Linked DNA regions of Lonchura striata. The protein of the gene in region 3 binds, or shares a complex with, the protein of the main gene of each other region. Links are inferred from orthologs where the notes say so. Each region holds a gene or a part of one and is shown on either strand. Other genes may lie near its edges.

Evidence for each region.
Region 1: GTF2F2 (region 3) and POLR2B share a complex: the UniProt entries of both Homo sapiens proteins name them as parts of the TBP-based Pol II pre-initiation complex. The link is inferred for Lonchura striata from reciprocal best matches to the Homo sapiens genes GTF2F2 and POLR2B.
Region 2: GTF2F2 (region 3) and GTF2H5 share a complex: the UniProt entries of both Homo sapiens proteins name them as parts of the TBP-based Pol II pre-initiation complex. The link is inferred for Lonchura striata from reciprocal best matches to the Homo sapiens genes GTF2F2 and GTF2H5.

The regions. Positions count from the first base shown.
Region 1 is NC_134606.1:58,660,731-58,671,649, reverse strand, and holds the start of POLR2B (DNA-directed RNA polymerase II subunit RPB2), read left to right. Parts: upstream 1-6,132; 5' UTR 6,133-6,193; coding exon 6,194-6,212; intron 6,213-6,392; coding exon 6,393-6,465; intron 6,466-7,289; coding exon 7,290-7,440; intron 7,441-8,901; coding exon 8,902-9,014; intron 9,015-9,285; coding exon 9,286-9,505; intron 9,506-10,444; coding exon 10,445-10,603; intron 10,604-10,919. Other genes in the region: NOA1 (nitric oxide-associated protein 1), read right to left, coding at 73-189, 1,696-1,827, 2,993-3,204, 3,914-4,078, 5,120-6,053. UniProt on the Homo sapiens protein: Catalytic core component of RNA polymerase II (Pol II), a DNA-dependent RNA polymerase which synthesizes mRNA precursors and many functional non-coding RNAs using the four ribonucleoside triphosphates as substrates.
Region 2 is NC_134605.1:53,865,721-53,876,513, forward strand, and holds GTF2H5 (general transcription factor IIH subunit 5), read right to left. Parts: upstream 4,745-10,793; 5' UTR 4,672-4,744; exon of another isoform or gene 4,577-4,671; intron 3,782-4,576; 5' UTR 3,723-3,781; coding exon 3,688-3,722; intron 2,131-3,687; coding exon 1,950-2,130; 3' UTR 1,728-1,949; downstream 1-1,727. Other genes in the region: protein SERAC1, read left to right, coding at 7,027-7,117, 8,474-8,510, 8,817-8,953, 9,283-9,372, 10,299-10,430. UniProt on the Homo sapiens protein: Component of the general transcription and DNA repair factor IIH (TFIIH) core complex, which is involved in general and transcription-coupled nucleotide excision repair (NER) of damaged DNA and, when complexed to CAK, in RNA transcription by RNA polymerase II.
Region 3 is NC_134604.1:60,918,620-60,928,838, reverse strand, and holds the start of GTF2F2 (general transcription factor IIF subunit 2), read right to left. Parts: upstream 4,015-10,219; 5' UTR 3,926-4,014; coding exon 3,860-3,925; intron 1-3,859. UniProt on the Homo sapiens protein: TFIIF is a general transcription initiation factor that binds to RNA polymerase II and helps to recruit it to the initiation complex in collaboration with TFIIB.

The DNA.
Region 1 (10,919 bases), on a different chromosome or scaffold from region 3:
CCTGTCAGTTGTACCCCAGACAGGTGTCCTGCCTACCTACAGCCACAAGCTCCCCCCAGAACCTCCCCTTACCTTTAGGAATTCTTGGGCTGCATGCTTCTCATAGACAGTGTCTGCATTACCCAGTGTAGTAACATGGACTGGCAACAGGTTAGAAGCCAAGACAGAAAACCAGGCAGGCTTTTCTCCCTGAAATTAATACCAAAAGGATCATAACTATGTTAACAGAAAAGCAGCCCTGAATTGCTCCCTCCTGCCCCATTTCCTTCCTGCATGTTGAAAATCTGCCCTGCTTGATGCCCCTTCCCTGTTTGAGAAGTCCTTGCCTCTGTCAATGACAGAAGCCATGGTTTATATAAAATTGGGATTTGAGCTTCCAGAAGAGAAGACCAACAGCTTCACCATCCTGCCTCAAAGCACCCCCAATGCCACATTTATGGCCAGCACAGCTGCTCAGCTCAGGTAAATCATCCAAGAGAGATCTCTGCTCTCATTTAATTCACAAAAACAAACTCAGTGTGCTTATTCACTGCAAGAGGTGATGGACATCTGGTAGGTACTTCTTCTCCTATCACTCTACACTTGTAACACACTATGCTCATTCAACAGTACTAGGTTCCAGCTGCTCTCAAGCTATGTAAAGCCAGTGGAGCGGTTTCAGCAGGCACTCTCATCACATTTGCAGGAAGAGAGAACAAGGTCAGGGAGGGGAGAGATCTCTCCAAGCACTGCTAGCAGCCAGAAATACGGGCAGGAATTCCTCCAGGTTCAAAGGTCTAAGCTGAGGCAGGAGCTTCTGTCATGATCTGAGCACAACTGTCCTCCAAGATATCAAGTGGATATAGATACACAAGACTGATACATTGATGTGTGCTCCTGCCATATAAGAACATTTTTTACTTTACAGAATCCTGCCCCCTATACCTTTCTGGTTTTCTTCCAGCAGGTCAGGAGTGTCCTTAGCAAAGTACCAATTCAACATTTCTGTGGTGATTTTTGAAAGCAGACTGAAACAAAGGAATAGCCCTACACACCCCTAAAACAGGGCAAGCTACTGAGAAAATTATCTAAGACTTATGATAATGTCTAATGTTCTTATGAAAGAAGCTGCCCCTTACAGAGGAACCATCATAGGAGGTCAATTCCACACAGTTCAATAAAGGTGTATGGCATGGGGTTTTTAATAAATGGAAGAAATTATTGGCAGGAGGGGACACATTTCAAAAATACTTTTTACAGAAACTAAAATACATATGCAATTAATTGCTTCCTCAGGCAAGTTCTTCAGAGGTCTGCCAAGAAAGAAAAATATCTATGCTGTTCTCTCTTAGCAGGCAGGTTTCACAAAACACAGAAATTAGGAAACCCACCTATTTTCCCAGTTCATTCTGACATTCTCCTCCCTCCCTCATGCCTCTCTGTATGTCATGAGAAGCACATTAAACTCAAGATGTTTGTCAGCATTCCAAAGAAGTTTCCATTATATACTATGCAATATTGCATGCTGGTACCAAGTAACAAACCTTTCAACTACCTATCCCAGGGCACTCTGACTTTATGCAGTGATTAAATAACTGATTCATCATCTCTAAAGCAGCAATGAAAGAGTCTGGGAACGTTATCCAGAAAACCTTTTATCGCTGGTACTACAGTAAGAGATAAAGCAGCTGCTCCCAAAATCCTTTCTTCCTTTACCTCTAAGTAGTCTATACGTCCCAAGGCTGCTAAAAACAAGACCATTCCTGGCTTGAGAATAAAAGTCCGTGGAACAATGGCATGTGATGGCAAAACCAGTTTTACTTCCTTCTCTGTTAGGAGATTCAAAACCTGCAAAATAAATTGTCATAACTCATTCCAGATGTTTCAGTGGGAACAATGGCATTAGTACTGGCATTATATTGATAGAAGAAAAAGTACAATCAAAGCAATGTCAAGAACATATGACACAACAGTTCAATTATGGTCTACGCAGTAAGCGAGAAACAGAAGAATCTCCCCTGCCAAAATCTGCCACAATCTGCTTGTCCTCCACTCAGACTGATCATTGACTGCAGGAACAAAATTTGATCTGAAACTTGGCATGGAGCTCTCCAAAAGAGAGTGTGAGGATAATCAGAATCAGAAGCAACTATTTCTGGATGCAGGAAGTATTTTCCACAAGTATCCAACTCTATCAGAAGGGAAGGACACATACAATCAATCTCAAGATACCAATCCAGGTCTCTAAGCTGATGCCAATCTTTATAGAGACCAGAGTGCAGGTTAGTAAAGCAGGTTATGCTCAGACAAATACATTACTAGAAAACAAGAAGTCTTCTAGTGTTCATGAAAACAGCAATGGCACTCAAGCTGTAAAGTCTCAGCACTATTTTTGCACTTCATTCTCTTCAGAACCTTCCTGTCTGCCTGGTCTATTTAATCTTCCCAAAAAGATGACCTGCAGCTGTGCATGGGTACTAAAAGACTTAAAGTAAAAACGTTCCTGTTTTAGACATGTGCAATTCGTCAGCACTACTGACAAATGCCTGACATACTGGAGCCAGTAGCAGCAACACTGCAGAACCTCCTAGCTTCAGGAGAATGCTTTCTCTAAGATGGGGTTTGGTCATACAACTCTGGTTATCCCCCTAAGCTCCACCTTCTTCTGTAGGTTGGGAGAACTGAAGAAGTGTCAGCTCCATTGGGTGATGCTGGTGTGAACTTGCTAAGAGCATTCTTGCTTACTTCCCTTGGTTCAAAGGTTGTGGAAGCTTGGTGACACAGTCCTGCAGCTCCTTTGCAAAGCTGGCAGTATTGCACTACTCAGAAATGCAACAGCATTACCACATGAACCCCTCTCCGGTACATACAAACCTTATCTTAATACAATTCCCAGGCAAAAAGAATCCTAATGCCAAGACTATGGCAGAAGCACTCTCCCACAGACGCAGCTAAAGCAGAACAGTCCTCCCAAACCCTGTCGCCCCAAAACACAGCACCACAGAGTACCTACACAGTCTTCCTTTACAATTCCTGGAGTGTCAAAACACCACCGAGCATCCTTCACTTCATTGTGAATGAACTCTTCCCTCTCCTCAAACCTCTTAGGGGGATCACTAGGATCTTCATCTCTAGGATCTTCATCCAAGCTGTAAGAGAGCTTGTCAGGGTCGAAGTCAATCTCAGCGCTAGACTTCTGCTGTTTAAATGTTCTTCCAACTCTTCCTGAATTAAAATGAAAGGTTTTCCTGGTAATCTACTTATTAGCTTGCTTTCCTTCAATCAAACATCTGCCCCTTTCATGGCTTAAAAGAAACGCACATCAGTAGTATAAAGGTGATGAAGACACTATGTGGATAGAAATTTGTGTGCTCAAAAGCCAAAATGATAAATACTTTCTATAATTCTTGCTTAGCACTCCTCATGCCCCAGAATCTCAGCAGGGACCAGATCACAGACACTTAGTTATTTCCAATTTATGGTAAAGCAGGCTGCTTTCTATTTTCAATGCCTCAGACTGCCAAACACAAAATTACCTGAAAACCAGAACTATCTTCTGGCAACCCCTTCTTTTGAATACATACTAAAATGATGTACAACCCTTGTAGCCTGCAGCTCAGATGTGATTATTTAAAATTAAACTTATTTTCTTTATTTGGGAACAAGAGATGGCCCATACCTGCAATATAATAACCTTGCAAACTGCTAAGCTATCAGAATTTGCCAGCCTCCTTCAGAGAGGAGATGCATTGCACACAGGAAGCCTCTGCTACTACAGCAGCTGACAAGTATTCAAAAGTACTAATGATGCTGCTTGTAGAGGAGATAAAGGCCTTGTCCCCATTAATCTGGGAGCAAACACTGGTCAAAATAACTTAACCTTTGTGTGATGCAGTGTTTCCATTAGGGGCAGAAAGGCAACACCTTTACTCACCCACTAGGTAACCTTGCTTTTTAAGTTGATTAAGGTACTTTTTTTCTTCACTGCTTAGCTGATCTTCTGTTTTTGCTGCCTCTTCTTTTAGCCTCTCCTGCCTTCGGAATATCCTGTCACACGTAGGGTTAATAATTGGAAATTTCAATAGGTTCAGTGTTGTTCCTGGGAAAAACAAACAGAAGGCATTTTTGGATCTCTGACTACTTGACACATTTCAGCTCTGAGAAACAAGATTACAAAAAACTGCTTCTTTAACTTTTTGGTGAAACCCAGTAACACAAAGTCAGAAGTGGAACTACAGATGCTCCCATAAAGTACCAGCCTCCCAACTTGGGGAAGCAAAAACAAGCCATCCACCTGCTTAAGAGCTGTTCTCTTCTACAGTTTGAATAAAAGGGTCTCAAAGCTGAGTGGTGCTGAGCCTTAGCATACCCCAGACAAATCTCAACTCCAGACATCTTGGTTTGACCTACAGGTGCTCACCACTCCACTTCCTGGCCTCTCCAGACTGGAGGACACCTCTAATGGATAGGGACAGAGCAAGGCATGCACATCAGGTGCCATCCTAACTGGCAGGGGTGCACACAGACCCACTCTGGTTTAACAAGCCTCTTTAGTGCTACAGGATGTGCAGTACACTCAGGAGGACATGCAGCCCATTCCTGCTGCCCCCTGTGAGGAATCACAGGATCAATTACGCTGGAAAAGAGACCTCTGAGATCATCACCACATTGACTAGACCATGGCACTGAGTGCCACATTCAGGCACAGTGACTCCATCATCTCCCTTGGCAATCCATTCTAATGTCTAATCACCCTTTTGGTGAAGAAATTCCTGCTAATGTCCAACCTCAAGCTGCCCTAGTGCATCTTAAGACTATGTCCTCTTCTGCCACTGGCTGCCTCGGAGAAGAGACTGCCTCCCACCTAGCTACAACTTCCTCTGGGTAGATGCAGGGAGTGGTAACATCTCCCAAACCTCCTTTTCTTTGTGTTAAACACTTCAGCCACTCCTCCCAGGTAATAATGTGAAGCACGGCACACTTCTGGAGCTTGCTGCCCACCATGGAGGTACTGCTTTGGTGACAGGTTCTCCTGCCGCAGGGGTGGCCAAGAGCAGCCTAGAGGCACATATCTCGCTTTTTTCTGCACACCCCGCATTCCCCATTACCCGGGCTACAAAGGGCCGAGCAGTGCCCTGACCTGGCCACGAGGACACGGTGGCCCTGTCGATGATGTCGGGGGCGCGGGACTTGCAGTAGTCGGAGCGCAGCAGGGTGTTGAAGAGCGTAGACTTGCCCGAGTTGGTGGCGCCCAGCAGGTAGACATCGCCGGCGCACTTCCAGGAGCGCTGCAGCCGGCTGACCAGCCCCTCCATGCCGTAGCCGGTCTTGGCGCTGACCAGGCGGATGTCCACCAGCGCGGCTCCCCGCAGCCCGGCCCGGGCACAGGCCGCCGCCACCCGCTGCCGCAGCCGCCCCAGGTGCCCGCGGCGGTCTGCGGGCAGCAGGTCCACTTTGTTGCCCACCACCAGCACGCCGGCGGCGGGCACATCGGGGCTCAGCAGCGCCGGCAGCTGCGGCAGCACGGGATCGGGCAGCTCCGTCACGTCGAGCACGTACAGCAGCAGCGGCCCGCGGCCGTGGCGCCGCGGGCGGCGCAGGGCGTTGCTCAGCACGCGGCGGTGCTCGGCGGGCGGCAGCTGCAGCGCCGGGGCGCCGCCGCCGTGCGCCAGCGCCCAGCACCGCCGGCACACGGCGCCGCGCAGTGCCGCGGGGCCCTCGCACAGCAGGTTGCGGTACCTCTCGGCCGGCACGAAGCCCGGCGCGCCGCCGTCCCCGCATTGCAGCTCGGCCCCGCAGCCCGAGCAGCTCACGCCGCTCGGCGGCACCGACGGGTCCGACAGGCTCGGCATCGCCACTGCCACTGCGCGCCGCGCCCGCCGCTCCCGCCGCGGCTTCAGCTCCCACTCCTGGCGCGGCGCCCTCTCAGCCGGGTCCCGCTCGTACTCGAGGAAGACGAAGCGCTCCTGCTCCGTGCCGTGGCCCGTCGCCGCCGCCCCGCACGGCCGCAGCGGGGCGCGGAGCGGAGCCAGGCGGGCAAGGCGGAACAGCCGCGCGGGGCCCAGGCGCAGCATGGCGGGGCTGCCTGACGTCGCGGGGCGCGCGGGCGCCTCGCGGGAGACGCGACGTGACGTCACGGGTCGCGCAGCCGCCGTCCCGCCGCCGCCGCCACCGGCCCGCGCCCGCCCCTCGCTCCGCCGCTCCCGCCGCCACCATGTACGACGCGGACGAAGGTGAGGGGTTTGTTTCCCTTTTCCTTCTCCTCTTCTTTCCCTCCCGCCCGGCCCTCCCAGGGATGGAGCCGGTGTCCGCGGGAGCCCGGAGATGGGAGATGCGGTGCCTCTCCCCGAGCCAGGCGCGGGGGGGACACGGCGGCGGTCGGAGCCTAACTCACACCTTGTACTTGCCCGCAGATATGCAATATGATGAGGACGATGATGAGATCACGCCCGACCTGTGGCAAGAAGCCTGCTGGATTGTTATTAGGTGACCTGCTAGAACTTGCTGTCCTTACCCCGCCAAAAGCTGTGCTCTCGGTCTGCAGGGACATCCAGCTAGCTCCCGGGAACACGCCTGGGAGCTGCGGTTTGGTTACGCTAAACTGTGTTGCAGCACCTTCAGAGCAGGAGGGCTTTTGGTAGAAACAAAAGGCTGTCGGCTGGGATTGAGAAATTCTGACCCCCAGCACACGCGTTTTTCAGTGAAGAAAGGGGTGGTTTTGGTTCCATATCAAGCACGTGGTTTTGCCCATTAATCTCACTGTTGTTGCTGGCATTAGGAAATCAGTACAGGGGTATTTTCACCATTTTTTCTAGCAAAATGTGAGCATCCAGAACCTGTGTGGCTGGAACACAGGGAATCCAAGTTAAAAGTTGAGTACTATTACTTGGAATTGGGGGCATCCTCCTAGTCTACTGCAGCTAGGAAAATTAGTTGAAGCAAAGTAATTCATAGTGTTACTGAAAACTTGACCTGGAGCCCTTTCAGTGAGGTTTGTCATCACGTTTCTCTTCCAATTTAAGGGAATTTTGAGGCACTCACCGTGCATGCAGTTGTGGCTTAGCTAAGAGGTGGCAGCAAGTCTTGTCACTCCAAAGTGTCTGTGTCTTCAGGCAGGGAGGGAATTATTAAACATTTGTGAGGAGCATCTGTGTTTGAATGCCTTGGGTTAAGTAAATATGGTTGATTCTGTACTATATCTCATGGCTTGTGGAGTTTTGGTTATAAATATGTTTTAAGTTTGTTGGTGTGTGAAGTATATTAATTAAATTAAGATTTCTTATTAACCTGGTTTTTTTTAATTTTTTTAGCTCCTATTTTGATGAAAAGGGTTTAGTCAGGCAACAGTTGGATTCCTTTGATGAGTTTATTCAGATGTCTGTGCAGAGAATTGTTGAAGATGCTCCACCAATTGATTTACAAGCTGAAGCCCAGCATGCCTCAGGAGAAGTGGAAGAGCCAGTAAGTGAAGAACCTTGGCAGAGATTATGTGTTTTTACAATTCAAAGTCATTTGACATCAATTCTGTTCAACTCCTGTCCTGCTGTTTGAGCTGAGAAATGACCAAGTGGCTGCTGTAGCTCATATTGTCAGTTCCTCTGCAAAACTGCATGGACAGAGATTTACTAGAGCAGGTCAGGTAGCCAAGAGCAAGCTGTGTTTTGGTGAGATTTTGGTTTTAAGCAGCTTTACTGTGGCAAGGCTTATAGCTGAAAACTTCTCTTTAGCTTTGACTCAGGTTAGGTCCGGGTTTTCAAAGCGTGCTGTTGTTCATGTTCTTCCCTTGGAACTATGACAATAGAGATTGTCTCTATTCTGCACCCCATGATGAGTGTGCTCCTCTACAATGAGTGTGCACCTTCTGCAGTGGCTCTGGTGCTTTCACCTGTATCCCTGGTGTAGTCTGATCCCTGTTCCATAAGTGCAGATGGTGATGAGCCATTGCCTTGCTGTTAGTCACTACCTTGATGCTTCCCTACAGGGATTTAAATGAACTCTAGGACACCAGAGCGTTGATTTTATTACATGGTTTTCCTGTTCCTTGGCATTTTTTGCCAGCAAACAACTGTCCTGTAGAGAATAAGTGAGATGTCTTTTGGTTTCTTTGCTAGGCAAATGGTTCATAAACATTTAGCTCACTAATTCTTAATATTTTCTCTGTTATTCTGTGTATATTATGGCAGAATTCTGTATTTGTGCAGTTCTGCAGCTGATGTTTGTGCTGTGCTTGGTCTCTGTTCAAATCAAAAGTATGGTTTGTGCTGGGCTTCTTTTTGCCCGAATGCTATTAATTTACTTTCTCAAGTAGTGTCTTATTCTCATTTATGATTTGCAAGTTTTTGGGAATAGGTTTAGAGATGAGAAAAAGAAAACCTGTTTTTTCCTCAGAGTCACTTGCAGGCAATCTCTCACCACATTTGAAGATGCTGGACTAATTTAAGGAAACCGTGTGTATTAGGAAAACTTGATTTTTTTGTTTCTGTCTCCCTCTGCTTCTCAGTCTCAAATTTTGAAGGCAGTTTAGAGCACATGAGAGGGTTTAGCAACCATGCTCAGAGATAAGAATGATGGTATTCTCCTTAAGATAGCTTTCATGAGAACTTGGCAGTTGCTGCAAATCCAGGAAAAGGTGTTTCTTCACATAAGGATTGAGGTTTTTTTTTACCTACAAAACATTTGCAACAAGGGTGTGCCACCTCCTGTTGTAGGAAGCTTTTGTGCATTTTAAGAACCAGATAGTTTTTCAAAAACCTCAAGTCTTAATTTGTTTACTTGTCTTATCAAATCTTCCTAGGAACTGGTGCTACCCAGCTTGCTGTGTTTTCATTTATTGGTAGTGGCTGTTCTTCTGCAGTAACAGTTCTGGTTGCTAATAGGAGAGATGTTTCTTCCATTACAAGTAAATATATTCTTGTTTTCCAGCCCCGATACCTGTTGAAGTTTGAACAAATCTATCTCTCCAAACCTACCCACTGGGAAAGAGATGGAGCACCCTCACCTATGATGCCAAATGAAGCCAGACTGAGAAACCTTACGTAAGAGCCAACTCTATGGTGGATAAACACAAGGAAGAACTGCCTCTGCCTTATTAATTAATAACCTTTTGCAACATAGTAGTGCCTTAAAAATGTAATAATTGCTGCTTTATTTAAACTTCCATGTCTAGTTGTTAAATGCAGATGGTGATTGGTGATTTGGTAATAATGCTTAATACACTTGTGTGTGCTTGAATAACTGCCTTCATTACTCAGGGTTGTAAGAAAGGTAGTAACTGACAGGTGATGCAGTGGTGTTTTTATTCTGTAGGTATTCTGCCCCCTTGTATGTGGATATAACTAAAACAGTTATTAAAGAAGGGGAGGACCAGTTGCAGACCCAGCATCAGAAAACCTTTATAGGAAAAATTCCTATCATGCTGCGTTCCACGTACTGTTTGCTGAATGGTTTAACTGACCGTGATCTTTGTGAGCTGAACGAGTGCCCACTTGATCCTGGTGGCTACTTCATCATTAATGGATCAGAAAAGGTAAGGGATATACCTTACACAGCTATCTTTGCAGACACTAGCAGTTCTGTTACTTGTTCCCATATGTTTTGCCAGGAGCATAAACACTCTTATTCCGGTGTACCAGAGATACTGTGGGAGCTCCTGATCTTACAGAAAGATGAGCTTTTAGTTGTCTCTTAAGGCTTTCTCAAGACACCTTTTCTTCTCTGAGGCACATTTGCCATCTTCAGTTCTTCCCTTCTTCGGTTTTGTGAACTGCTTTTCATTTTGTGAACTGTTTGCCAGTAAGTGCTCTGGATATTTTGATTTCCTTCTTCAGTATTGCAGAGCAGCATGCATTCTGAAATGACGCAGTTCCTCACTCTGAGTGTTCTCCAGCTTGTTCACAGCTATACAGATGCATTTCATTTCAAGAAAAGGTACTTGTCTCTATTGCTGTGGAAGCAGCTTCAGAAAATCATATCTACACCCTGTTAATGCCTCACCAGTGAAACTGACAGGTTTTTTCTCTCATAACCTGGGGAAACACAGCAAAATAATCAGAATTTTTTATTTCTTCTTGGGGGAAAACAAATTCTGGCTTTGATTGTTGAGCTGGCATTTAAATTTGCCTGTGTAGTGCATTGGCCTTGGAAAAACAGATAGTGAAATGCTTTCTTTATCAGTGTGTGAAATGTCTCAGCATAGCCAGCATGTGTGGTAAGTAATAAAAGACAACAGTGTTCCCGGAGTTTATTCCACCTTGACTAGCTTATATTTTGTTTGGGTATTCCATCTTATCTAGCTTATATTTCGTTTAAATCTGTATTTTTAAAATACAGAGTTTGGCCAATTGACTTCATGCTGTGGAGTGCTCTTAAAGTTGAGGCACCTGGAGGAATAGTTGAAACACTGTGAGTGTTACTTTCAATATTCTCTTTTGTCACTTATTTACTGGTGCTCTTGTTTCTCACACAGGTTCTGATTGCTCAGGAGAAAATGGCTACAAACACAGTGTATGTGTTTGCAAAGAAAGATTCAAAATATGCCTATACAGGAGAGTGTAGATCTTGTCTGGAAAATTCTTCTCGACCAACAAGTACTATATGGGTCAGCATGCTGGCCAGAGGTGGACAGGTATGGCTAGGCAGCAAGAACCCCAGAGATTGATTTAGGAGTTTTGTTATTGTCCTGTCTCTTTGTGTCATTTGCTTTTGGGATTTTGAGAAGAAATTTTCTCTGATGCTAAGTTGTAAAGAAGATAAAAGTAAATGAAAATTTGTTATAAATTATACCTGTCTCTATGATAAATAATTTGAGGATTGAAATGAAGACTCAATTTGTGGTAGATTTTAGGGCAAGGCTAAAAGTAATTTTTAAATTACTATACATGAGTTTTTAGAAAATTCAAACAAGTTGTGTCCTGTTTTTTCATGAAGAATAAATAGAAGAG
Region 2 (10,793 bases), on a different chromosome or scaffold from region 3:
TGGTTACTTTTAACCCTCTGTAAGCCATTTATTGTAAATTTAAGCTGAAATACAGGGAAGACAGCAGCAAAGCTGTACAGTTAACCAGAGAAAAAGACAAGAACTGCAAGAAGTTTATTACAGACTGAAAAGGAAAGTCACAATAGAAATGGAGCACTAGGCATGCGATATACAGAGAAGCTTAACATGTGGAATTCCAAACATGACTTCTCAAATGCTGTAGTTTGAAAAGAGTGATGGATGATTTACCTTTCAGCAGAATCTGGATGGAAAATAAACTAGGATTCCAAAGAAAGGAAACACACCCTTCTAAATAAATTGTATTAGGCTATAATGCCATGTTAAAACTACTGATTATTTCTCCATTAAATGACCCCCCAACAACCTTCCACAAAATAAATTATGAGGTCAGTGTTTGATCAGTCTCTCGAGATCAATCTCAAGAAAGAGATAAAAAACCATAAACCATTTATAAATAAGATTTAAACTTCTTATTTCAGGTAAAGACACGTGGCTGGTTCTTAATCTACATGACCAGGGAAGCACCCACTTGTGAAAGAAAGATTAAACAATTTAGACCCAAACTCATTGTTCTATACAGTCAGAGAAAAGGGAAGGTACCAGAAATGTCATGAAGTTAAATTTTGCAGGGCTATTTGCTCATCCCATGAACTCGAATATACACAATTCTACAAAACTTTCTCTGGACAGCTTTTTGATTAAAAACATCTAGTGAAATTTTCTCCTGAAGATTCCTCCTTCTGAGGAAAAAAACAATCTGAACAAAAAACAAGGATAAACCTACCAATTAATCTGCTGTCTACTGGACAAAAGAAAACAAGCAGTAGTGGGAGAGTCAGTAAAGAAAACTGTTCCTTATGAAAAGCCTTTCTCTTTACACTTCTTTTTCTCAAAGACAAAATGGTGGCATCTATCTATCTAAAAGTTAAGCCAGTGTCTGAGCTAAAGTTACAAATACAGAGTAAAAAAACCCAAATAACCAAACCATGACAATACAAAGCTTTTTTCTTTACAGCAAAAGGCAATATGGGAAAAATAACTAAGCTGAAAACATCCCCTCATAACCAAAAATCCAAGCCCAGCTTTCTTGATTGTTAGGTAGAGCTTGGGAGTCTGATCACATAACTTATTGTGACTACTGGCTTCAGTGAAAAAATACAAGCAATTATATCTATAGGACTGGTCTCTAATTTCTGTCACCCCTTTAGTTTATAATAGTCTAGGGCAATAGATCTTGTTGTCCCAATCCCTCCTTCCACTCCAAACTCCCACCACCTCTCCCCAAACTCAGAACAACTCGGAAAGCACAGCCTTGGTAAAAGTAGGTAAGTAGTATGGGGCATTTGTAACATGTTTTAACAAAAAACCCCCAACGCTCCCAACCTCAAACAACACCACAAAACAGACCAACTCTCATCCTGCTGTATAAAACCCATCCAGTTAAGAGCAGCATCTGACCATGCCTCCAATTTACAAATGTTCCATCAAGCACAGATCATACTTCAACTGACATTCTTTACTTTCTATCAGTCACACTATAATCAGATTCAATCACACACAGGAACACAACACATCCACAGAGGACCTCATACAGCATTCCAATACAGAAACACTACTCTATTTTTTGGGTCATATCTTGCAAGATAAAAACCTAAAGGAAAACCAGAGAGCATGCATCAAGAATTCTCAAGGGAACTCCTCAAGTGTATAATTTTAAGTCTTTTAATAAAGATACCACATTCTTTCAAAATGAGAAACAAAATCCAATTCTAGACTATTTTTTTCTATGAAAATGATGCATTTTCTATAGTAGCCACTTCTATGTAGGACTTACATGCCACAGTGTTATCTATTTAAAACAGTAACAACACAAACTATTGAAATTCACTGTTCCAAAACTTGCAGTAATCTCATTTCTCTGGTTTGTCTCACTTCTGAGTAATAGGAAACGAGTTCTGGTCCATTAACTCGCCCACTCTCTCCTGGAGGAAGTTGACCAACTCAGCTAACACAAAGACATGAGTTTCATCCAGGTCTTGTATGATGAACTTCTTTCCCAAAGCATTTGACTCATCCAAGTAGAGCAGAAACTGCTTCATTGCCGGGTCACTGTAGAGACAAATACACATCAGACTCTACCTCACAAGTTATAGTTACAAACAAAAGAAACACCATTCAGAGATATTCCTAAAGGGTTTAGGAAAACTAAAATTAATTTTCATAACTTAAATACACTCTGTGAAACTTTAGTAAAAGTTGATTCTTTCCAAGTGGTTTTGGTTACTATAGAGACAAAAATAAAATTGTAATAAAGTCTAATGAGTAGAACCAGCTGCTTGATTAGCAGAGAAATTTCCGTTTGCTGCTGCTAAAGCAGATTCAAAAACTCCCAAACCAAAACTAAAACTCAAAAGTCCAACCCTTAATAAGGCAAGACTGAATTTACATTTCTGATTTCAGCAATAGCCTCATAAAAACAGGTTTCCTTAAAGTATAGGGATAACCAAAAGACAGGAGAACACAGATCTCACTCAAAGTAGTATAGCACAGACAAAGAGTGCTCATATAAGAATTGTATTATTTCTCACACTCCAACTGAACAGTCATGATATCACCTTCTAAATAAAATTTAAATTGTTTAGAAGAAAACATTTTGGAAGTATGGAACTGCTTTTGTGCAGTTTTAGATTGCAAACATATTAGGAGACTTAAGTGTACAGCAGAAATCTTACACATCATGTAACGCTATATGACCCCACAAATCTTGAGTGATGCTTCCTTTAATTTTGGAGGTAGCCAGAGGCCTGAGTCTCAGTCCAAAGATGAGATTATATGAAAACAGGTACATTGCACCTACACCAAAAAGCTGACATTTACCAACTCCAAGCACATTCATTTCAAATATGATCTACAAACAGAACCACATGTTAACCCTGCACCAAATTCAGCCTAGAGCTGATTAAATAAAAACAAAACAGGAATGAATAAATGAAAGATTACCTCGTCTCCCTCAAGAATCAGTAAAGAAACACTTGATTCACAAACAACAGCAAGAAACTGCTCGCAAGCAATACAAAGAACAAGAGGGAGCATCTAATATTTGCAAGGAAAAATTGCCAAGGTAACTGGATTGCTCATACTAGGGTTAAGTTGTACCTGACAAGCATATAGATAACTTACATATACAGCTAAAAGTTTAACTTGTAAACGTTTCAAAAGACGTGACAATATTAGGGGAGCATTAGACATGGTAGAATATAGCTTTGAAGCATAATTTCTCATAGTGAATGCTAATTTGAAGTATTTTACATCCTTTTCTCTATTTTGCTAAATTAAAATAATAACCTGGATTTTTACAACTATGTGATTTCTAACTTTTTCACCATCATATTTTTACTCCATATTCATATGCAGTTTTTTCTTTAAGGAGGTTAGGCATAAGTGGAAAACAATCTCTTGAACAGAAAAATGGGCCTTTGGCATTATGACTATCCACAATTGCCTTCTTTTTCTTCCCCAAAGGCCGCACTTTTCTCTGCTTGTTCAGCACCACCCTTCCCCACAATACCTCCTTTTGTCTGGACTCTTCAGTTACTTAAGATTAGTTCCAGGTCTAAAGAAACACAGTCTTTGACACGAGGAGAGGCAGTAAATGCTGCTACTCACCACTCAACCAGAACACCTTTCAGAACATTCACCATCTTCTCAGCTCTTATGAATGCTGAAGAGTCGGCAAGAGCAACCCCTGTTTTGGATCACACTGTGAAAAAAAGAGTTCACTCTTTAGAATTCTTAGAATTTTAATAAAGGATAAAAGAAAGACAAATTTCCAGAGCATGGAGATAGCCTAAAACCTCTGTTCTCTCTATAGTTACATTGCTGGGGTTACCTGTGAATTCAACAGTTTATACATTATTCAAACATGCTTTTGAGATTTTGACGTTTCTCTTGTTTGGTTTTAACCTCTGACTTGTCTGCAGGACATTCTGTAGATCAGATCCATATATTTTATTTCTTCCCGTAGCTCTATCTTGTTGTTTCACACTTCCTGATAGCAAAGAATCAATAAATCCTTCCTGAATGCTTATGCTCTGTTTTCTGTCACTGTTATCACTTGGAGAGGCCAGTCCGCAGATGTAAGAAATAAAATAATTGTTTTACGCGATTCTGTGAGTCAGCTACATTGAAGCATTTTAGTCTATTTTAACAGTTTGCTAAAAGTTATGATATAATATATTTATCACGCTATTCACATTCATATGAACTATACAGTGCACACATAAGCTGACAGGTCATATTATAGAAAAGCAGTTAAAAGTAAATATAAATTGTACCGTATCAAAATACTTGCGATGCAAAAAGCGAAATAAATGCGAAAGTCAGTATTACATTATCATCTACAACAGCACTGGCGATCACGGGAAATGTGGAAGCACAACACGCCCCACACACCCCCAACACGCAAATCCAAACAAATAACGCCTCGGTTTTACGCAAAGACTCTTTACGACAATTCTACTCCCCGGCGGAGTTGCTGGCCCGTCCTGGCCTTCACCTCCTCCTTGCTCAGAGGGGTTCCCAGGAGCTCCGGTGCGGTCCCTCACCTCCGCCGCGTACGGACCGGTCCCGCTCCCTCACCCGCTCCCTCACCTCCGCCCTCGTCCCGCGCCGCCTCCCCGCCGGCGGAAGTGCCCCGCCCGCGCACGCGCAGGCCGGCCCCGGCAGCCGCCGCGGATTGGCGGGGCGGGCGGCGGCGCGCTGACGTCACGCGGCGCGCGGGGCCGCGCGGGGAGCGCGGCGCAGGCGGAAGGTGGGAGCGGCGGCCCGGGCCGGGGGCGCGGGAAGGCGCTGGGCGGGCGGGATGGGGCTCGGGGCGCGCTGTTCCTCCCCGTTGGAAAGAGGCACGGAGCCACCCCAGCCTGCCTCCTTGCTCGTCTACGTGTTGCATTGTTTAAAGTTGTGTTTGCGGTAGTGTTTTTATTTTATATATATTTTTTTTTAATACGCCCCAGATGCGCAGTCGCGCGGCGGGCGGGTGGGGACCGCACCCCGGTGCGGGACGGGGCTCGGAGCTGCCTGGGCCAGCTGTGGAACGGTGCGAAATGGGTCCTTCTGCATTATACTTGCATGTGGCTAAGCACGAGAAGCCCAGCGTGAGGCGGCAGTGCGCGCTCCAGCCCCAGAGCAGCCGGCTGGAGCTGGCGGCGGGCCCGGGGCGGCGATTCTGCCCCTCCTCCGCTCTGCTGACACCTCACCTGGGCTCCCCAGCATCACAAGGACGTGGGGCTGCTAGGCAAGTCCAGAGAAGGGCCACGAGGTTGGTAACAGGGCTGGAGCACTTCCCCTGTGACAGCAGAGCGAGGAAGTTGTGGCAGGTCAGCCTAGAGAAGAGGAGGTTGCGTGGAGACCCCACGGCCACATTCCAGTGTCTGAGGGTCCTGCAGGGAAGTCAGAGAGGCACACTTAATCGGGAGCTGTAGTGTAGGACAAGGAATAATGGGTGCAAGCGAAAAGGGGAGACATTTAGATTAGATATTTTAAAAGAAATTCTTAACTGTGCAGGTCGTGAGACACTGGAACAGATTTCTCAGGAAGGTTGTGGATGCCCCAGCCTTGGAAGTGTTCAAGGCCAGGCTGGAAAAGGCTGTGAAAAACAAGGTCTGGTGGGAGGTTCCCCTGCCCATGGCAGGGATGTAGGGATTAGGTGATCTTTAAGGTCCATGCCAGACCCTTAACATTTGATGATTTGATGCTTGCCCTTGGACCTGAACAGGAGCTCCTGGCAACGGAGGAGCCTGCTGTGTTTGCAGGTGCATGTTCTAAATTTTAGTAGTTGTGGCACCTGCTGTCACTGAACCACATGTTTATTTCAGATTGTGGTTAGAGAGTAAATGTGAGTACTGTGATTCTATGAACCAAGGAACTGTCATGAGACAGGGAGTTTGGAGGTGGGAGATTTGTCTCTAGAGGACTGATGATCAAAATCTTAAAAGTGTTTCACAATTGAAGTGAATGGATAAACGAGGTTGAAATGACGGAAGTCAAAAAGCAGTCTGCCGTAATTTTGGCAATGCTGGGGTAATGCTGATGTTTTTCAAAAATCTCCCAAACACAAGCAAGAGAAAAGGGAAAAACAAAACTTTCTGGGAAACAAGAAAAGAGGGAAGACATGTTAAAAAGAGTCCTTTGTTCAGAGATATTGGACACTGATGATAAAACTGATATAAACACTTTTCTTGGTCTGCTGAGATTACCTTGAACTCAAGGAGACTATCAGGCTTCCATATTTCAACATCAGGTTTACACATGTGACATTTTATCATTTTGAGTTAATTGTGATTGTGGTACCAGAAACCTAATTTGATTCGTATTTGAGAAATACTGGTGTGTTTTAACATCTCTATAAACACATTAACACAATATTTCAGTTAGTATAATTGCACCAATGCAGACACTAAAATTTCACTTAGAAGATAGGAGTTTCATGTTACTTCTGCACTGTATGCAAAAAGTGTTTGTTTTTATGTAGTAGTTCTTTAAGTCTTGTTAGTCAAAATAAAAGACTTACTTGCCAACACAATAAATTATGAACTTTTAAATGGGGTTGGTTACTGAGTTGTATTAAAGCCCATGTCATGCTGAGAAATGTCTTGATGGATATAGTACCGTATCTGGTATTTACGGAAGAGTGACTAAAAAGTAGGAAAGGAAACTTAGAAGCAGAGAAGTTAATTGGACATACTTAGTCACTAGAGAGAGTAACATAATTGACAAAAAAACTGCTTTAAGCTTTTATTATAACCTAAATTCAGCCCCTAAATTGAGAATTCAGCCCATAAATTGAGAAATTTGTAGAGTTTTTTAGTCCGAGTGCTTTATATGGAGCAAAATGACACAAACATGGTTTATTGTGACCTTTGCTGTAAAAAGACAAGAAAAAATGCTACAGAATTTTTGCTGTAATTCTCAAATTTATAATTACTGTTTTTCTCCCCAATATGCAGAATGTCAGTGGCTGCTTACTGTGTATTTTGCTACAGAAAAATAGGAACTTCTGGTCCAGCCACAAAAAAGCATCTACCCTGGAATGATATCAGTAAGTACAGTTCATTATGTGTTGATCTGAGGTGTTAATAAAAAGGAATAACATGACACTGTGCATAATTCAATGATACTGAAGGTTTAAACCCTTGAATGCTTAGTGATTAAAAGCTTCTGTTTGTCCCTGCTCTCTGATTCTGACCTTGCTTTGCATAGTGATCTGTAATATGACACCAGCAGATTATCTGGGAGCAGATACAAACACTTGATGAGGGTCTTTCCCTAACTAAATGTGATCTCCTTAAACTATCTTTAATTCCACTTGTATCTGATTTTTTTTTTTTTTCTGGTAATCTCTAGAGCCATGAAATAATTACATTCATAAACATTGAATAAAGCTTGTTTTTATTATTTCTTTTTCCTTATTTACTTCAAGCCCTGCTTAGTCTCTGTTTCCTTTGGTGTCTTCAGCATATAATGACAATTCTTGCAATTCTGAAATTTATTTCTGAGCATTAAAGATAGGATATTTCAATTTCTGCTCTCCAGGAAGCATTGCATTTGTTTTTTCTTTTTCAAACTTCTCTGCCAGTTATGTCATCAACATGTAGCTGCTGCCTCTTGTTTGCATACAAAATTCTTATGGCCTCACAGATAGGGAAGCTGGTAGCAGTGGTTGTGGGGCAAATCTCGCAATTCATGCTGAGGAAAAGAAATTGTTCATGATAAGTGAGATGTGTTACATTGGGTTTGCTGCTGCCTGGTAATGATAAGAGTTTATCTGTATAGAGATCCTTATATCCAGATAATCAGATCAACTTTGTAGATACAAAGTAGCTGAAATCTGGAAGGAATAATTTTGTTTAAATGGCAAATTCTTGCTAGTAGCATGTGTTTATTATCTGTTTGCTTTACACATTAGATTAAATTGAATTTTTTTTTTATGTATTTGCTTATGGACTTTGCAGGACTTCTCAAAAACCATACATAGTCCTGTATGTAATAATATATACATTGAATAAATAGCTGCAACCTGTAAGAAAAAGTTAACTCTTTAAAATTATTTCAAGTTCTAAATTACTGCTAGTGTTACAGGCAGAGAAAGTTTGCTGTTGATTCTGGTAGCTGAGCAGTGTATGCAATTGAGAGGTAGCAATATTCAAAGTAAATAGAACTGGCAGGATACATGTTTTATCATCTTGCTCAGGAGAGCAGGAAATCCGAATCAAATAATGTTTTCTCCACTTGTAAATTTTGGTTAATAATTTCTTGAAAGCTAGAGAGCAATAGAATTTTTTTTTAAAGCTTGTTCTTAATATTTGGTATTCTTATTGTCTGATAATCAAATGGTAGCTGTGTTTATATTGAGGTGATGCATCCAACTTTGACATTTGGTTTTGATTTTTTCAAGGAAAAATTGCAAAGGTAACTGGATCACTTATACTAGGGTAAGTTGTAACTAATGAGTATATATGTAACTTATGGGTAGAGTTAAAATTTTAATATGTGTATCTGTCCAAAATAATGATAATACTAGATGATGTTAGACATGGTAGAATATAGTCTTGAAGCACAGTTTCTGATAGTTATAACTTATTTCAAGTATTTTATAGCCTTTCTCTACTTTGCTAAATCAAAATAATCTACAAACTTATGTATTTTGTAAAATCTCTATCATTTATGCCAATGTGACTGCTATTTTTTATTGTATTGTTTTTGTTGATATTCATATGCAGTTTTTTTTTTCTTTAAAGAGGCTTTGTATTCATTACCTATGAAGTCCTGTCCTTAAATAAGTTACTGCAAATTGATACTCAAGCTTTACATCAAGAAAAACTTAAATCCTATGTATACGTACGTACAGCTTCTCTAAGTCCAAGTGAATATCAAGGTAAGATGCATAATTGTTTGAGTTCTGAAAACAGAATTCTAAGAGAATAGAATGTTTCTGGAAGTCACCCTTATATAACAAGTAAAGTTGTATTTCCTGAAGTCTGTTACCAAGAAATATTACCAAATTTAAGCAGCTGACTGGTTTGTTGTTTTGTTTTGGTTTTTTTTAAGGTAGTTCTTTCTATATGTAGTTCTCTATATATCAGATAATTCTCTTTATATAATGTCTATATATATGTGGGTGTATTTAATTTTCCATATTTTTATGAAAAGTGAGGTGAGGGAACTGTCTTTCAGACTTCCAGTAATATAAAAATACTCTTCTAGGGATTACATACAAAGCCAGAAAAGAAATCCATAAAGCAGTGAGGAGAATTCTAGAAACAGAAGCTAAAATCTTCCGGAGACCTTTTAATGGTAGGTATTGAAAGCAGAACTTTATGATTATTGGTTTTTAACAGTAAGAAGTAGGGCAATTAGGAAGTCAAACATTTTTTCTTACAAAGTTAGCATGTTCTTTTGTTCTTGAAACAGTGATAATATAGCTTATAATTTCTTTATTTATATGGATTATCAATCGATTGTCTATTTTCTGTGTATTAAAACAATTTATTTTCTTAAAGTAAATGAAAGTGATGGTTAAGAGAAGATTTGAGGGTTGGTTTTTTCCTTATTCCAGAAGAAATTTAAAAGTTAAAGTACCAAGTTAATATTTGATATAATTTTTGTGTAAAAAAGGTGTTTGTGGGTTGAAATACTCTAAGTCTCATTTTAGAAAAGTATGTATGCTTTCATCAAAATTGACATTATTAACTGAAAGCAGTAGTTTTTATTATCAGTGTTGCTGCTTTTTCAAGTAATTTGAAACAAGAACTTCCATTTGTATCAGAAACTGTGCTCTTGAGGCATACTGCCTATTCTCATTTAACTCTCTATGAAATTATAATAGCAATGTGCATCTCCACTGTCATCTTATGAAATTAATTCTTGAAAGTCAGAGCCTCAAGAGTTGCTAATAATTTGCAGCTCCTGATGGTAATTCTGATTGATCAGTGCCAGCCAGGGGTTATGTGTGTCACATAGATAGTTGAAATATCAACTTCGTGCCACTAAAATGAGACAGACTCACACTTTTAGGATCAGCATTTTACTGATGTCATTCTGTCCTTGTTCATTTTACTAATTTAAGTTTAAAATGTTACTGTAAAATTACTGTGAACAAATAATATTCAAATATTAAAAAACCTACATATTTCCTTACTCCACAAAGAGAAACGTGGCTGGTTAAAATGCTCATTAAGAATAATGGATTTACTTGGATTTAATTTGTTTCCTGGTCAAAGAACAATTCAGTACCTTTGATGGAGAAGATCATGAGTGTGCCTTATGGCTTCTCTTAAAGAGAAGTCAGTCAGAAGACAAAGCAATCCGACTGCAGGCTGTACAAGACCTGGCAAGCAACAGTCACTGGCATGGTAATGTATGCTGATGTAGCCTTATTTGTCCCAGAAATTCCACAGTCTCAGTTAGCCGTTCCAAGTCTGCTCATAACATGAAGAAAAGCTAGTAGCTGCAAGAAGCATCAGGTTTAAAAAAAAGATTGTTTCCCTCTGAATATGAATATGCTCTGAAATTTGGTTGAAAAGGTAGGGGAATTATTTGCATTTCAAGTAGCTGTTCTTTCCTAATGTTTTTCCCTGACACAGTGTGAGTGTCTGCAGTGCAGGCCTCTCTGTTTCCCCACCAGAGAATTATAACCATTACTTTGCTGTGGAGAGTAGTTCATGGTCTTTAGTTCCATAGGTTTTCTGTTGGGATTGCTAATGCAGTCACAAGTT
Region 3 (10,219 bases):
TATAATACATTCAGACTGGGAATTAAGTCAGATTAAGAGGTTGCAGATCAATCATACTGTATGGGAAGGTCTCAAAGAGTGCATTTAATCATCTTTCTGCTGGCCTACCTGCAGTCAAGGGCTATGCAGAGCAAGACAAAGAATTATGAAGGGCTGTGATCAAAGGATTACTTCCAGCTACCCATAGGTACTTCAGATAAAACCAGGTGCTGCGCACAAACATACATGCTAATGACATAAACAATCAGGAAAGACTAAATAAAGTCTTAAATGCCATAGACATCTTGTTTTGCACCTTTCTTTTATCTTTAACATAATAAATATGGTAAAGAGTCAGGTTTCAAAATCTTAACAGTCCTTGAAAGATGCACAGAAAACAAGAGCAACCTGTTTCTATAGGGCAGAATTTTCACAGATCCCACAGAAAGATTTTGAAAACTACATATGCACAGAAAGAGAGACCTGCCCAACCAAAAGGCAACTGAATGTTGTTTCAGGACAAGTGGTCTTTATTCTGGGATTTGCAGGTACAAACAGTTCTCTCTCCAAAAAAGAAAAAAAATTACAGTTTAATCACTAGAACAAATGTGATGTACTAAGGAGCTTCACTTCTTCCCACTGCTGCTCTCCTCTTGCTACTCACATCACAGCACTGCCCAGGCTGCAGTACACGAGGCATGCTACAGACAGTGTAGGACACAAGGGCGCCTGCTCCACTCATCTTTCAGCCTGGGCACAGCTTCCTACCTCCTTTAGAAGGGAACACACAAGCAGTCCCTCTCTGTAACAAACTAATTCCACTTTTCTGCAAAAAACTAAATTAGCTCTTTCTCTATATAGCAATACATATGCAGTGCATACAACAGAAACTAAGGCTGATGTCAGATTCTATATTTAAATTTTTCTTTAAACATATAAAAATAATTAAATAAAGGTATCATCTTTCTAGCTATAAGACAATGCAACAGATTAAATTAAAAAATCTGACCAACACACTCAGAGAGCAAGAAATTAACATTCTAATGGCTAACACTAAATGGGCTTCACTTTACCACAAGTACATAACCAAATACTACTACTATTTCTCCACTTTAGCTTTCACTGAAAACACAAAAATAAAAATCTAGTGGCTTTCTGGATTTGTACTAAAGCAACTCACTCTCTTTATAGTACCTCCTTTTACTGCTCATGCTTCTAAAATACTCATCACTACCTTTTTTTATTGCCCGTTAAGTAGCCTCTCTGGAATACTTCCTGTGCTAGCACAAAGCATGCTAAAAGGAAATCAAATAAGCCAGGTTTTTTATTCCATCAGAACTGAATGCTCTCTCCCTCAAAGGAAGGATAAATTCATCCTCATTGCCCTAGCTAGTGAAGATAAAAAGTACAGGTACTACACAGACACTACACTGTCTTGCCTCTGAGTTGGAAGTCCTACTAACAGATGTGGTTGTTTCCAAGTTCAAGTCCAAAGGAAATCAAAAGATAAAATCCTGCATACCCCATGTTATCATCTATCAGTGTTAGCATCTTTTAAGTATTTTTTACTATCATTACTAAAAAAGAAGACAGATGTAAGGTCAGAACACATGCATGAAGGACTACATCAACATTTACTCGGAAGAGTAATAGTCCAGCTTTCCTTTCAGTCCTGTTTTCTCATTAAACAGAGTGGCACCAGCTGTAAGAACAAATTTGCCTGAAAAGTCCTTGCTTCAGGAAACATCAAACTGTATCAGACTAAAGGACAAGCAAGTTCAGTGTCCTGTCCCCAAATGCAGCTAGTGGCAGTTACTTCAGGAGGAACATACGAAGAAAATTTATTTCCCCAGCATGCTCTTCTAATTTCTAGGGTGTTTTAGCAGACATGGGGTTTGTCAGCATATTACTTTTTAATCTCTGAAGTCAATTTTCTTGCCAGAATTTGATTGTGTTTGAGCTTCTGCAAAGTTTTGAAATTCAGAACTCCTAATTGCAAGAAGTTCCAAAATTTAAATGCACATTGTGCAAAACAATACCTCCTTTGCTCTTGCTGAGCCCCAGCAATTAATTAATCTGACACACCTCTAATTCTTGTGTCTGAACTGATTCTTTCCTGTTCACCTTTGCCTATTCACTTCTTCCTTATCCACCCATGACATTACTCATTCCTTCAGATCTCTGCAAGATTTCCAAATCAATCCTCTTGCCAGCCTAAAAGGTTGGTATTTAGGAGTTCCCTCCACAGCCATCATTCCTTGTTGCCAAGACAAGATCTGGTGATCTCCTTTTTACTGTTCCCGGGTCTGCACACTTTCTACAGTAGGGGGAATGAGACCATGGCTACGCAGAGCATTCTGGATAGAGGCAACATGATGGTACAAGAATATTTTCTCTTTTGTTTTCTGTGCTTTTTGTAATCATGTCCAATGTTGGCTCTGCTCATTTGACATATTCTTAGAGTTATCTCCATGTACAGAAAAAAACACTCCTCCTGAATTACAACAACCAGCAGAAACCCAACTGCTGCATACAAATAATTCTGATAGTTTTTCTCTAAGCACACCAGATTAGTTCTTTCAGATCTTAATTTCTTAATTTCATCTGCCATTTTATCATCCTGTCACTCAGAACGTCATGATCCAGTTCCGCAGGTTTCTGCTGCCACCAGGGAAAAGCTATTGCAGTTAGAGCACTTGCACAGTGCTCATTGGGGCTTTGTGATATCACACACTCAGCCATCAGAAGAGGAAGCCAACACAGCAACCTGCCCACCAAAAATTCTGCACAGCAAAGCAAGTCTGAAATCCCAACCGTTTTTAAGGGCCGCAGCAAGCAGTTTTAGTAGCTGAAGTGTGATGATGTTACACCCCCCTCACCACCCAGGACTAGTACCTGTCCCCACAGGTTCTTTCAAGTTGATGGTCTGAAACTATTCCTAAAGAACAAAGGGGATGAAGGAACTGTTTCTCCCAAGACAGAATAAATATAGGTCTAGAAAAAGAGGAGCACACCCAGAGGGGACACGAAGCAGGCAGGGCACATGCTCCCCCATCAGCTTCAAGTTCCCCTTTCTGAAACAATGCTTGGTATTGGCAGGAAAATGTCTTGACAGCAAAAACACTGACTCCAGGGAACAGAGCAATGCCAGCCTGTTAGTGGTGGCACCAGGCTGGACTGTGGCCCTGCACCAAACAGGTTTGATTTGACACCCTCGCTACCTTTTCACAGCCCCCCCACTACAGCTGTATTTCACTAGCACCAAAGGCAGCTGTAATGACAAGACACTGGCATCCTCTTTCCTTGCTGGATGTGGACAGTTTTAATCAGGACGTGAATCTGGGCACATTCAAAACATTGTCCAACTCTCAAAGTTTTGGAGAAATAAAAGTTACATGGCCACGTTTGTTGCTCATCGCAAACCACTAGCAAGGACAAGGAAAAGATGTTTTACTGTGAGGGTGGTGAGACATTGCACAGGTTGCCCAGAGAAGCCGTGGATGCCCCATCCCTAGAAATATTCAAAGCCAGGCCGGATAAGGCCTTCGGCAACCTGGTCTAGTCCTGGATGTCCCTGCCCACCGCAAGGGGGTTTGGGACTGAATGAACTGTAAGGCTCATTCCAATCCCTCAACATTCTGATTCTGTGATAGCTCCCGGCAGCCCTGCGGTGTCTCCTTTACTGATCGGGCACGGGGTCCAAGCCCGCGCTGTCCCCGGGAAGGGGAGCAGGCACAGCGGCTGTCCCGGGCCACCGGCCGAGCCTGGCGCGGCAGCCGCGGCCTCACGGCGCCAACCCGGGCACGGCGGGGCGGGACGAACGGAGGGACCCGGCTGCCACAGGCCGCGCTGGGCCGGGCCCGGGGCCGCGGCTCCTCACCTTCACCAGCCACATGCCCGTGTTCTGCTTGGCGCCGGTGAGGTCCAGCTCGCCCTTGTCGCTCATGGCGGGGCAGCGGCCGGGCCGGGCCGGGCGCCGGGCGAGACGAGCGCGGCAGCGGAGCGCACCCGGCACACGGCGGCCCGTGAGGGACAAACCTCCTCCGCCCGCACGGCGCGGCGGGGCGGGCCCCGCTGCGTCGGAGCCGCGGGTTCGGGTCCCCGCCCGGGCGGGGCCGTGGGAAGGGACGGGAATCCCCCGCAGAAAGTTCCTGTGTGACAGGATAGCCTAGGTTCGAAGGCACGTGTAAGGACCATCGCGTCCAACTCCCGGCCCTGCACAGGACGTGCCCGAGTGTCGCATTTGGACAGTGAGAGCACTGTCCAAATGCTCCTTGAGCGCTGTCAGGCTTGGTGCTGTGCCCACTCCCGTGGGGAGCCTGTTCCTGTGCCCAACAACCCTCTGGGTGCAGAACCTGTTCCTGATACCCAGCCTGAACCTCCCCTGACACAGCTTCAGGCCATTCCCTAGGTCCTGTCACTGGTTATGAGAGAGATCAGTGCCTGCCCCTCCTCTTCCCTTCCGAGGAAGCTGTAACTGCAGCGAGAGCTCCCCTCGGTCTCCTCCAATATAAAGAGACCAAGGAACCTCAGCTGCTCCTCATACAGCTTCTCCTCAAAGCCCTTCACCATCCTCATTGCCCTCCTTAGGACGCTCTCCAACAGCTTAATGTCTTTCTTACACTGCAGCACCCAAAACTGCACGCAGGTTTCGAGGTGAGGCAGCACCAGCGCAGAGCATAGCAGGAAGTTATTCCCTCCTGGTACCAGAATAGTTATCCCAGCATGCTGTAATGATCTAGAAGGACTGGAGGAGAAGCCTGGAGAGAGGAGGTACTACCATGATAGTGCCCTTCTGTTTAGGAGGGAAATGGTGGCTAGAGGACTAGCTTCTGTGAAAGGGAATCAGAGCATCATGGTGTGCTCAAAGGCCAAGAAAGTTAGAAAACACAGCTGGTGAATCACTTCCTGGGAATAAAAAGTAAAGATTTAAGCTTAGCTTTCCAGAAAGAGAACTCATGAGGAAGTGTTGGGCTAGGCTGTCCAAAGATAGGAGGGCATCTGAGACACTGAAAATGTCCTGTGTCAGGAAAGTGCCTGCCCATCCTAGGTTGAGGTGGGTGTATTTGGCTAAGAAAAACCCAAGTCCTTATTTTACAGTTGTCACTATCTCTGGGGAAGTTTTCCCCCTTTGCAGTTTAACTTTGTTATCTCCCTTCTATCCACTATAGGCACAAGAAAGACATGGACATGCTGGAGACACTGGCATGGGTTGCCCAGAGAAGTTGTGGATGCCCCATCCCTGGCAGTGTTCAAGGCCAGGTTTGCCAGGGCTCTGAGCAGCCTGGTCTAATGGAAGGTGTCCCTCTCCACTGCAGGGGGTTTGAACTAGATGATTTTTAAGGTCCTTTCCAATCCAAACTGCTCTATGATTCTATGGCATGGAAAGCATTTCATTAGCTTCCTCTCTTCTTTATTTTATCCTTTTACTGAGATGTAGCCCTTTGATTTACCTCCTCTCATACTAAATAACTTCCGTTTGTTCAGTTCAGTCTCATAGGTCTATTCTCTAGACCTCTGGCTATGTCCATTGCTCTCTGAATTGCCCCCAGTACAAGTTTACATCCTCTTTGAAGTCTGGTTGCTCAACGGTGAAGGTTATCTGAGTCTGTACCAGCAGCAAGCAGAGGGTATTTTCTGGTACAATATGCAGGAAATTGCTAATCTGGCTCATAAAAAATGATCTCAGTAGTATTATATCTCAGATATGAGAGTCTGCCTTTCTAATTATAGGCAATCATCTAGGTAACCAAGGAGGACAACATTTTTATATGTATCTGAAGCAATTATGGCTAACACTGAACTATTATATTGACTAGGGTAAGTCACATTTAAAATTAATTGCATTTTAAAATTGCTTTTGTTTTTACATTTGAACTGTGTTTTTCTGTAGAACTCAGCTTGGAGGGTGGATAAATCTTTTACTGTTAGTTAACTTCCACTGAAAATTCAGTTTTCTTTAAGACAACCTTACATAGGCCTACTAAGGGCTCCTCAAATGCTAATAAAAATGGAAGTGGGTGCATCTCAACAGTAGTTAGACCAGCCCCATTTTCTGGGACTGTGTCACCCCCAAATATTGTAGGTCTAAGACCCTTTGGTTTTGTTCATCTGGAAAAAGAGTGGATCTGGATCTACACAGACAAACACCATTGCTTTACAACCTGCTTTGGATCCTGCTCATAGGATCATAGAACAATTTGGGTTGAAAGGGAGCTTAAAGACCACCTAATTCCAAACGCCCTGCCCTGGGCAGGGACACTTGCCACTAGACCAGGTTGCTCAGGTCCATCCAGGTTCCATCCAACCTCGCTTTGAACACTTCTAGGCATAAGGCATCCACAATTTCTCTGGACAATTTGTTCCAATGTTTCACTAACCTCATTTGGAAACATTTCTTTCTGATGTCCAATCTAAACCCACCCTCTTTGAAACCATTGCACATTGTCCTTTCATTACAGGCTCCGAATAAAAAGTGTCTCTCTTTCTTGTGAGCCCCTTTAACATACTGAAAGGCTGCAAAAAGTTCTCCCTGGGGCTTCTGCTTTTCCAGGCTGAACATGCCCAAATCTCTCAGTCTGTCTTCATAGGAGAGGTGCTCCAGCCCTCTAACCATTTTAGTTCCTTTCCTCCAGACCTTATCCAACAGGTCAGTGTCTGCCTTGTGCTGGGAGCTCCAGGGCTAGATGCAGTACTCCAGGAGGGATCTCAAATGTTCCCCCGGGATAAACACTGAATTAACAACAAAACTGTCCCTCTACCACTGCTCCCAGCTCAGTCTGTGTACTCAGATCACATGCACCATCACATTTCAAAAGAAAAAAGCAATGGAATGGATGTCTCTAACAGGGGTGACATTTGCAGCAAAGCAGCATCATGGGGGCTCAGATGGGCCTGTGCTCCACCAGATGGAAGGAGAGGAGCTCCACTTGCAGAGAGCCCAGCAGCAGGTGGCAGGAGCATGGCTGACCACCTCAGGACTCCTTAGGGAGGGAATCCATGAGGAGTCATCACTCATATTCCATGTGTAAATGACGATAGCAAAAACCTCTGTAAAAGCCTGACAATCGAAGTGGCTCAGCTGGCAACCCAGAGGGGAAGGCGACCAGGCAGAGATCTTTCCTGGCTTCCTCCAGGCAGCCTTTCCATAGCTGTTTCCATGGAAACTGAATTTAAAGGGACAACAAGCAGGAAAAAGTACGCATTTTCATTAATTCCTCATTTAAAATCTCAACCTTGTGTTTACCAGGGACACATTTAGTGCCATGGAGGAGGACCCAGGGGCCAGCTGTTGAGCTGCAGAGCTGTGTGTTAGTCACCCATTTTCTTCTTGCTTGCATGGAAACAGATGTGTCTGAGAAGAGAGATGGCCAAATTGAGACTTACACAGCCTTTCATTTTTATTTTCCTCTTGTCCTATTAGGTGAGATGAAGAGTTGGCAGCATCATCAGCAGCCACACAGAATTTCTGTTCAAATGTTTTAGGAACAGGCTAATTGATGCAACCTGGTGGTAGTTGGTGAAAATCAGTGCAGCGGAAGATGCAAAAAGCCTGATGCTTCCCTGTTGAAGCTGATGGGAGTTTTGCATTTTGGAACCCATGTGCTTTCCTCAAAGCCCAGCAAGAACTAGGGAAGATGTGCTCCTGGGAGCCGGTGTTCCCACAGAGTATCAGCGATGGACACCATCAGAGAGGATTCCATGTGCTGGAGGAGATGAGTGCTGCCTTTATTCTGAATACCTGAATTTTCAGTCAGCAAAGACCTCATGGACTTATGAGGATGCCACAAAAACTCAAACTTAAATCTCAAAACTACCATTATTGTTTGAACTGCTTGAGTAAGAGGAGGGAAAACTTTTGCCATCTTCAACTGTAATGCATCATTCTCTCGTTTGTGGTGCAGTTGGTCTGTGTAAGCTGGAAAAAAAGAGAAGAAATAATCTGCAAAGACAAAAAGAACATCTGGGCAGATCATTATTATTTATTTTTAAATAAGAGAAAATAAATTCTGCGTAACTTACTCCAAAACAGGGTATGGTCTGCATACCTATTTCCTGAGGCAGCAAAGAATTTCCAGTGTGTCTTTTTAAGACAAAATATATGTTGGAGCTTTTGTGTTTTCAAACTGCTTTTGAGCAACATGTTAATAACAGACTTGTTTAGTCCAAGCTGTTCTGTGGCACAGAGTTGGAAAACATCAACCACAGGGCTGAGCTCCTATTTCAGTAAAATCCTAGGCAGTATGAAATCTTCAACATGGCATTTCTGCTGCAAAACACAACACAAAAAGGCAGTTCTGAAAAGATGGCAGCCTTCATTCATTCATTTATAATTTTTAATTCTTTCTATATATTTACAGCCATACATTTTTATCTATGCTATATATTGGAGAATACTTCGTTTTCACAGTAATGGTGCTGCGCCTCTGCTTGCAGTTCCAACCCATACCATGTCTTCCATCAGATTGACAGTGTGCAGTAAATTTGGCTGTAGGCAGCTTGTACTCTTGCTTATTAGGATTTTCACCATATCAAGGAAGGAGTGGGAGTGGGGGAAGAGAGAAAATTGAAAGACGCAACTGCAAATTATTTTTTTCAAAGGAAGAAAACACTTGTTAGAGAATTTCAGATACTTGGTTTGAACCTAATTTAAAATAATTTTTTTAATGACCATAAAATCGGCATTATCTTTTTAACTCAAGGTACTTTTTGTGCCTCTCAGGCATAAAAAAATATTATCTAGCCTTTTTCACCATTGTCTCTCAAGAAGGAGCTTTAAGCATGCAACATTTTCAACCTAGTAATAGTACAAAGGTAATGTGAGGTTTCATCAACTTGTTACTTTCTAAAGTGCCTTTTCATTGTAGGTATATAGAAAATGTTACATAGAACTGAGTTTAACCTGTTCTTCTGCACTCCTTGATATTTTTTCTGATCTTCTTCTCTAGTAATGTACTACCTCAGCACAAAAGGTCAGCAGCATCTATAGTCGCTCATCTCCTGGACTTTCCACTAATGAGTTGGTGAAGAGCAAGGCATTTTCTCTTCAGCTACTGAAAAAAAATGTTACAATGGATTTAGTTCCCTTATGTTATAATTTAACAAACTTAATTCTATGGCACTGATATTCCCCTTATTTTGTAGGTATAGGCAATGAACAGTCACCAAGGTATGTTATTGATGCATAAATTATCTCCTAATGAACTACTGTTTTGCAGAGGGAGCTTCCAATGAGACTAGGAGAAGGCTGTGTGACTAAACTGAGCAAAAACAACATTATTGACCAGAAGAACAAATCTACAATGCTCCTATATAAAAACAGGGCACTTCTATTGGAAAGCTTGCCAGCCTGAAAGCATAGGCAGGTGTATACAATTTTGAATTTGTGTGTACATATAAATGCAACAAAGGCATCTAGTTTGTGGGTGTCACTGCTTCAGAGGTGATCACTCTGGGACTCTTCAATGCCACATGTGTCACTGCTGTCATTAAAGGAAATGAGCCACATGCTGTGCATCTAACCTCGTGTCCCACCCTTGCACCTAGTTGCAGCTCAGCCACAGCAAAGAGCAGCGCCTCACAACAAACTCTCACTGAGATAATTAACTGGGGATATCAGAGGTGTCTGCTTCATTACTGCTGTGTGCTGCCTGCCAGTTCCCTCCAAAGTTTTTCCACCTAATGGCCTTTGCTGATAACTCACTTTTTTCCTATATGCTGCTTGTTGGCACTCCTCTAAAACAGTGCTAATGATCTAATAAATATGATTATGCAAGAGTGGTTTGTCTCCTTTCAGCATAAGCTAACAATGCTATTACAGACCAGAGGAAAATACATTCTCTTTGACACAAAGAACAGTTTTTCCACCAAATTGAAATAAATAAGCGGGAATGAGTAGAAAGTGTTATAGACCTGCAATTGGATCATATTTTACTGGATTTCTATTGATGGATGAGGTTAAATAAGGTCTGAAATTTTGCCTCCTAGTTAATTGTTATGGCGTAAACATGAAAAGAAAAGAAACAGAAATGACATTTCAGTCAGTGGGAGGAAAATAAACAGAAAAGGAACCAAGGAAAACAGAAAATAAAACCAGTGAGATTAAGAAAATCCAATGAGTACACAGGGGCCAAATGGTCATGAGAGAGGCAGAGACCACAGATAGTCCTGATGGCCTCATGTTGTTTCATTTTATCTTCTGGCAAATGACACATGGGGCTGGGGGGAAGAAATACAGTAA